Linked DNA regions of Mus musculus: region 1 is reported to be linked to region 2. Evidence: microRNA targets listed by miRTarBase, many of them from high-throughput screens and not tested one by one. Region 2 holds a microRNA gene; the other region holds the end of a gene's coding sequence.

What was found. Region 2 holds the annotated microRNA mmu-miR-181a-5p (AACAUUCAACGCUGUCGGUGAGU, at 2,525-2,547, opposite strand). A microRNA usually pairs through its seed, bases 2 to 8, with sites in the 3' UTR of a target mRNA and lowers its output. Matches are read on the target gene's strand: a 7mer-m8 pairs with bases 2 to 8, a 7mer-A1 pairs with bases 2 to 7 and ends in A, and an 8mer does both.
Region 1: the mRNA of Ogt is a reported target of mmu-miR-181a-5p. Seed matches in the 3' UTR shown: 8mer at 2,040-2,047.

What each region holds. Positions count from the first base shown.
Region 1 is chrX:101,681,709-101,685,708 of GRCm38, forward strand. Ogt (O-linked N-acetylglucosamine (GlcNAc) transferase (UDP-N-acetylglucosamine:polypeptide-N-acetylglucosaminyl transferase)) reads left to right here. Exons shown (of 22, transcript NM_139144.4): 22 at 448-2,643. The coding sequence ends at 622. Among named protein-coding and RNA genes, the nearest start is that of Gm52429, 12 kb to the right of the region's middle.
Region 2 is chr2:38,851,136-38,855,287 of GRCm38, reverse strand. It overlaps Mir181a-2 (microRNA 181a-2), which reads right to left and starts at 2,553; the gene lies at 2,478-2,553. All of the region lies in intron 3 of Nr6a1 (nuclear receptor subfamily 6, group A, member 1), which reads left to right. Nr6a1os (a long non-coding RNA gene) reads right to left here. Exons shown (of 7, transcript XR_866167.2): 3 at 2,929-3,073. Mir181b-2 (microRNA 181b-2) reads right to left here and starts at 1,458; the gene lies at 1,370-1,458.

The DNA of each region.
Region 1 (4,000 bases), not on the chromosome of region 2:
CAGCCATCTTTCAATAAATTGCTGATTCTGTGACAAGCCTCATGACCAAAATAAACTTGGAGAGGAAAGGTTTTATTTGGCTTAGGTATCCATATCACAGCCCACCATGAAGGCATGCCAAGGCAAGAACCTGGAAGCAAGAACTGAAGCAGAAAATACAACAAAGGAGCTCCTGCCTAGAGCTGTCACTGCCCACACTGGCCTGGGTCATTCCTCATTAATCAAGAAAGTGTCCCACAGACATGCCCACAGACAAGTTTGATGGACGTAGTTTTTCACTTGAGGCTCCCTCTTCCCAGATGACTTTAGTTTGTGTTAAGTTGACAGGCTAATTGGAAAAAGTATAACTTTGGTCATATTTTGCCACAGAAGTGACTAAGTGTTTATTCGGTCTGGTGCTGAGTTTTCTGATTTGTAAATTTGGTTCTCTTTGTTTTTACCACCTAGCCTGAAGAAAATTCGTGGCAAAGTCTGGAAACAGAGAATATCTAGCCCTCTGTTCAACACCAAACAATACACAATGGAATTAGAGCGACTTTATCTGCAGATGTGGGAGCATTATGCAGCTGGCAACAAACCTGACCACATGATTAAGCCTGTTGAAGTCACCGAGTCAGCCTGAATAAAGACTGCGCACAGGAGAATTGCCCTATACCTGAGCCTCAACCTTCTGGGGGAAGGGAACTAGATAACATGCTTTGTGTGTATCTGTGTAGTTCTGTGTTGCAGACGGATGATATATAATGATAATAGAATAGCACATTCAGACTTACTTCCTGCATGATAGGGAGAGACAAGAAAGAAGAAATGCTATTCCACAAGGAATCTCTTAGAGTTTTGCAGCAAACAGGTGGTGCACAGGTCTGGAAGGTCTGGTCTCCCTTGGTCTTCCATGGGATGCTTAATGTGGAGGGGAGATAGAGATTAACCAGCCGTTTTGTGATGCCGTGGATTGATCAAGTCTTCTGATCCTTTTTTTTTTCTTTATATTTTGGGTTTTGGAGCTTTTAAAAATGTTTGCTTTCAGGTATTTTTACTCATGTGAAGTGATCTTGATTCTTCTGAGGTTTTAAACTAAAATGTTGCTTCCTGTTTTAGTGTCTGAACTCTGACAGGGTGACAGGGACCTTGCTGGTGTAGTCTTTTTATAGGTTTTATAAACCACATGAGCCTATATCAGTCATTTTAGTGTCTGACCTAATGCTTGGCACTGTCAGTGCTTTGTTTAGATGATGACTTAAGACTTTTCAGCCTGTTTTACACACCCCAGCTCCCGTTAAATTCTCCTGTGACTGCTAACAAACCCATGTCTGCTTTCAGACATCCCAGGGTGTTTCTCTCGAACATGCCATCTGGTGCCAAATGAAAATTCTTAGGAGTGAATATTAATCATGAAGGTCACAGTTGTGGTACTGTTATTGATAATAATATAGGGTTTTTTTCTGCCTAAGTTTTACCTGTTTCACCAGTGTTTCAGCCCTTGACTGCCCCTCCTATGCTGCTTCCAAAAGTAATAGTGTGATAAGATTTTTACCTTCCTTTCTAAAGTTTGTTTTTTTTTTAAAGTGAGTCCTGTTCTTCCCATTTCTTTCAGCAGAAATGAAATCCCAGGTAAGTATATAAGTATTCAAATGTTTGGTTAGTAAATTACAGTTCTCTCCAGTACCTTAAATGGTGTTCACCGCTCTGAAGAAGCATCTCTATACAGGCAGTTATTTTATTTTTAGACTGTGTTAGAATGTCTGGACTTAGCTTCAAACTCTATGGATTCGGCCTTGGTAGGGAATTGTACCACCACTTGGTTTGGACTACAAATTAAACATTGGCCCTCGCGGAGCTTGAGTTCTTCATGGTAGAAAACAGTTGCATTTCCGTAAAGGGTGGAGGGCTTGAGGCTTAAATATATGAGTATGTTTATACTGCTCTACTGCACTTAGACTCTCCACTCACAGATAAGTCTTGTCTGTTAGTAGTGCTGTAGATTAAGTCTTTCCAAAGCACCTAGGCAGTGCACCTATTCTGTAGTTGCAGCTATTGCCTGAATGTACCTTAGCTGACAAATTATTGATAATTAAGAACTTGAATTTGTGATTCTTACTGCTAATTAAAACCTAAGCAAGAAGTCTCATGTAATTCTGATAGCAGAATTGCATTGTGTGAACTGTGTAACTTTAGTAATGTAAATCAAGGAACATCAGTTAAGAGATTTCCTAATTTATTTTTTAACTGAATAAATATCAGTTAAAAGATTGCCAGCATGGTTACAGGTAAACTGATTTTCAGAATTCACTGAACTACTAAATGTGGGATTGGATAATAGACTTGGAGTGCCGCTGAGGCTGAGATCTGTGGCCATTTACATAGCACATCATTCCTCCTATAGGGATGAACTTTTTTTCCGACACAAAAAGTAGCCACTGCGGTTAAAGCTTTGCTTATTGTAACAGGCTTTTATTTCCAGGTAACCTATCTGTGGAAGACCTAATTCTGAATAGAGTAATAGATATTACTGGAAACTGATTTGTTTTTTTTTTCCTATTATACTCTGCTTTATTGAAAAAGTAAAGCATTTAAAATTGTGCTCCAGAAATTCAGATGTTGTCTTGCGATCTTTAAACAATAAAATGGATGATTTCCCCTTAACATGGCTTGGTGTAGTTTGTCTCATTATATTGAAACCTATTCTTGAATTGCTCAAAACAGTCCAACCAGAAGTGTTTCCTTAAGTTGATACTAGGAATTAACATTATTTTCTTTGTGATGGGAGGGTTGGAGGTGGTAAATAATCCACTAAGGAGAAACAGAGTCCCATTCTGAGGATTATGCATATCCAGCAAGTATATTAATATGGAGCTGGAACTCCAGCCTATGTAGTACATTCTTTATATGGACTTGGTTTTTTTTTAGGTATTTGCAGACAGAACTGTTTTCTATTGTGTACAAACTCAGCCACAACTTTGGCTTCCAGCTTTTTCAGAAACATAAAAGGGAAATATTTGGAACTGGAGAGATTGCATAGCAGTTGGTAGCACTGGGTGCACTTCCGGAGGCCCCAGGTTCGGTTCCCAACATCTACTTGGCAAACTATTCCAGATCCAGGGGATCTGACACCTCTTTTGGCCTCCTTGGGTATGCACATGGTGAACAGGTGTACATATAGGTAAAGTACTTATAAAATTAAAATTAACATGGTGCATATACACACATTCAGGTAAAACCCATACACATTTAAAAAAAAGTGTGGGATGTATGTGTGAAAAGGGAGTGGGGTGGTAAATGCCTTTAAGCCTAGCACTCAGGAGTAAGAAGCAGGTGGTGCCCAACCTGGTCTACAGAGCTAGTTGTAGAACTTGTGACTATACAAGACCAAGACTATACAAAGCCTGGCTTCAGAAAACCAACCCAACCCCTGCAGAGTGGCACTTGCCTTTTATCCAAGTACTCCAGAGGCAGGAGCAGGCGAAACTTTGTGAGTTTGGGGCTAGCCTGGTCTGCAAAACTCCAGGGCAGCTAGGACTGTTACATAGAGAAACTATCTTGAAAACAAGGGAAATAGTGGTTTCAAGTAAACTTTCAGCTGTTTTCTTTCTTTTTTATTTATTTATTTATTTATTTATTTATTTATTTATTATTAGATATTTTCTTTATATACATTTCAAATACTATCCTGAAAGTTCCCTATACCCTCCCTCCACCCTGCTCCCCTACCCACCCACTCCCACTTCTTGGCCCTGGCATTCCCCTGTATTGGGGCATATAAAGTTTGCAATTCCAAGGGGCCTCTCTTCCCAGTGATGGCCGACTAGGCCATCTGCTACATATGCAGCTAGAAACATGAGCTCTGGGGGCACTGGTTAGTTCATATTGTTCCACTTAGAGGGTTTCAGAACCCTTCAGCTCCTTGGGTGCTTTCTCTAGCTTCTCCATTGAGGGCCCTGTGTTCCATCTTATGACTATGAGCATCCACTTCTGTATTTGCCAGGCACTGGCATAGCCTCAT
Region 2 (4,152 bases):
TTGTAACTGAATTCTTTTCTTTTGTTATTTTGATTCTTGTCTCTGTACAACTGTATTCTCTCCTTTCCTGTCCATGCAAAGATAGTTTGAAACACTAAACTGACAAGACACTTCTGTTGTCTTTCTCTTAGACTTCAGTTGTATAATAATTAATTTACAACTAAGGCTCATGTTTTTATTTCATTAGCAGGAAATATTTTGTGGCTTATCTTACAGTATAGGATTTGGAGAATTGATACTCTCCTTTAGTTTTTGTTACCATAAAATGTTTCCTGTCTCACTTGGCTGTTTTTCTTGTTATAAGAACGTATCTTGGGAAAGTAAGAATAGATGGTTTTGGCCAGGAGAGGTTTTTTTTTTTTTTTTAATGTGTCTAAACAATAAAAACCAAAGTATTCATACGAAGACATACAGTCATTCAAAAGAATGAGAAAGGATCGATGGCAATGGGGAGATGACTTCTTCAGTGAGTGTTCACCATGGAAACATACAGACTTGAGAAAGTGGAGACAGATGCCTCCTGGAACTTGGTTGCCTGCTGGCATGCCTCAGGTTTGACAATGAAGTGGAGAGTGATTAAGGAAGACACCTAACACCTACCCTGGCTTACACATGCACCAAAATATGTACATGTACACTAACATAAAGTACAGGTGCTGCAGTTATTAGTAGACTGCTTGCCTATCACATACAAAACCTTGGTTTCAATACCAGGCTTGGTGATACACACTTGTGATCCTAGTTAGGAGAACATAGGATCAGAAATTCAAGGCCACTTTCAGCTACCTAGCATAGGATATGTAAGACTATGTCTCAAAAACAATTAACAAATAGCCAAAATAATAGTAAATGTGGTTTGTTAAGCTTAAAGTATATAGCTGAGTGTAAAGGTAAATTGAAGAGCAGTGAGTTCCTTTTGTTGCCATTGAACTTCCCCTGAATTACAGTTTTGCCTCTGTTTTTATACATGTAGATAAGTCTTCAAAGGTATAAAATTTTTCTTTATGTTGTGTGAGTAATACTATTAAATGGATGTTTTTATGTAGTTTTCATAGAAGGAATGTATTTGAGATGAGGATAGATTTAAATTCTTTTCATATACTTTTATTTTAAAATAATTATGTATATTTAAGTATTATTTTTAAATATTATGATGTCAAGGCATATTAATCCTTTTGCCTGTGATAATATAAATTTCCCAAAACTTGGAATATTTGAGAAGAAAATAAAAAATACTAGGAATTATAGAGCTTCTTCCATATTAGAAGCAAAGAAACTAAAGAGACTTTAGATAAAAGATTGAGGTCCCACCTGGAGCAGTACTTCCGTACTCTGGTGACTCTCTGGGAGTACTTTTGTTTCTTTGCGTTTTTTGGCCCGCAGTTTGCATTCATTGATCAGTGAGTTGGTTGACATTCAAACCCACCGACAGCAATGAATGTTGAGTGCAGCCATCAATGTTTCCTTTTGATGAAATTGTCTTGGTCTTTTCTATCTCCTGGCTCTTCTTCCCACTATGGTTCTTTGAAGTCTGTTGTATGTTAGTAACTAGTCATCTGTATGGTTGTGGACTCATAATTATAGATCACCTTGACTGTATAGCAAGAACTTGTTCAAGACAGAAAAGTTGTGAGGAAGAAGGCACTATGTGAGAACCTTGTAAGTAGCTCTGATCACATGGGCTGAGACTTGGATGTTGATGTCTGTAAAGGAGCCCTCAGAGACATTGCTTCATCTTTTGTTTCAAGCTGAGACGTTAAGTGCCCTTTTCAAGGTAAAGCAGTATAGATTATGATTGCAGTTAAGTAAAAATTTTTGTAGTAAACATTTGCTGTGAGCCAGAAACTGTTCAAAGTACCCTCATATATCTTCTCATTAAATTAAAACTCTGAGGTTCTCTCCTCTCCTATTCTACATTTGAGAAAACATACTTGGATACGGAGGCTCAGAGATGACCCAGAATTCCTTAAATTAGCACATGGAGATGGAAATGTATCTGGTTCTCTCATGGAGATGTCAAATCCCTAACCGCAGTAACTGAAACTGGAGGCACAATATGATTTGTATAGACAGTGAGTAACTCTGTGAGTATTTTTGCTGAGTAAATCTCTTGACCCTAAAGCAAAAATTTGAAAGGACGTAGAAGAAATGAGAATAAAAGACTTAACTAGATTTTTTTCCTACAGTAAATAGACATTTTTAATACACCCTATTTCTGACTAGAATGACACATTTCTAGAAGATATTTGAGTGCATTTGGTACTATGATGGCACTTCCCATAAATTGTTAAAATGAAACACTTATTTATCAAGAAATTACAAAAAATAGACAATATAAATACATGGAAGCTTAAAAAAAAAACTTGCTGGTTCCCTTTAGAAAAGAGGCCACAGGACTGTATCTTGTGATGTCTGTCACATGATATATCTGTACAGCCTACTCCTTTGCTTCAGGAAACTTGTTGTCTGTAAGAATCCCAAGGTACAGTCAACGGTCGGTGGTTTTTTTGTTTTTGAATCCCAAACTCACCGACAGCGTTGAATGTTCCATGGAGTCCTCTTAAGGCTGGCTTGGTTGCCCATCTTTGGCCTGCTCTCATATTCTAAGGACCACTGCTGTTGGGTCTCTCACATTCTTCCCAAAATTTCAAGTTAACAGTACTTACACTGTGAAGTTAGTTTGCATAAAGCAGAAATGAGCTGCAGGATTGTGAGACTGCAGTTTACATTGCTGACTAAAAGTGGATATCTGTGGAAATATTTTTCAATGCTATCATTCTGAAAACATCAATATAGCAATTTTGTAGTAATACTTTAATTATTAATGTACAAAAACAAGAAAGACCATAACACATGCTGGGGACTTATGTGTAGTAGGATTTGTATATTTAATTCCAACCGTGTTTTCCTTAAGAAACAGAGACTTACCCGGAGTTCCATAGCCAGAACTTGAACACCAGAGTTCATTGTTCCAGTATTGGTTGGATATGTTGCTTTCTCCTTCCTTTACCAGTCTCAGATTTGAACCTTTACTGCAGAGCTAAATCAAACAAGCAAATTCCTTCTTGTTTGCCTGTAATAGTAGAAAATACATCTAAAGTCATATATTTCAGAGAAAAAGATGAAAAACAAAACTCAGTAGCTGAGAATCATGGGCTGCTAAATTACCACAGAAGTGCTAGTGATGCTCCATGATTTTTTTTCCCCATATAGGAAAAGTAAAAATTCTATGTGTACTAGAGCACAGAGAGTGTATCTGGAGAGATGACTCAGCAGATAAGAACTTGTACTTTTCTAGGCGGGACTTTGATCCCAGCACCTGTCTTAACCACAATCTGTAACTACCAATTCTTGCTGCAGGGATCTGTCAACTCAAGCCTTCACAGGCACTTGAACAAACACACACACACATACATACATACATACATACATACATACATACATACATACATACATTCATTCATACATACATACATACATACATACATACATACATACTTAAAAAATAAAAATCTTTAGAAGAACACAGAGCAACTAAAATGCCAGATGTATCTGATCTTTGTTTTGGGTGGTTATTTTTTATTACTTATTGACTTTCTTTTCCCCCCTCCCTCCCTCTTTTCCTCCTCATTTTTTTCTCCTCTCCTCCCTTCCCATCCCTCCCTCTCTTCCCCTCCCCCTTCCTTCCCCTCCCCTTATCTGGAACTCTCTTTATGTAGAGCAGGCTGCTTCAGACTCAGAGATCTGCCTGCCTTCCTCTGAGTGCTAAGATTAAAGGTTGTATCATCATGCCTGGCTATTTATTGAATATTTTTTATGAAAAGTCTTGAAAACTAATTAAACATTTTTCAGAATATTGGCTTTATTTTAAGCAACATAGAAGCTTTGTAGAGCTGCTGGCTGAATTGAGGTTAATATCTATCTAATCTAGGATACTTTGTGTTTAAATATTTTCTTAAATGTATTTATTAAATTTATTATTTTTATGTGTATGGGTGTTTGCTTAAGTATATGGCTGATAATCTCAAAGGCCAGAGGAATGTGTCAGATTCCCTGGAACTAGAGTTAGATGGTTATAAGCCCACATATGGGTGCTGGGAATCAAACTTGAGTCTTCTGGAAAAGCAGCCAGTACTCTTTTTTTTTTTTAAA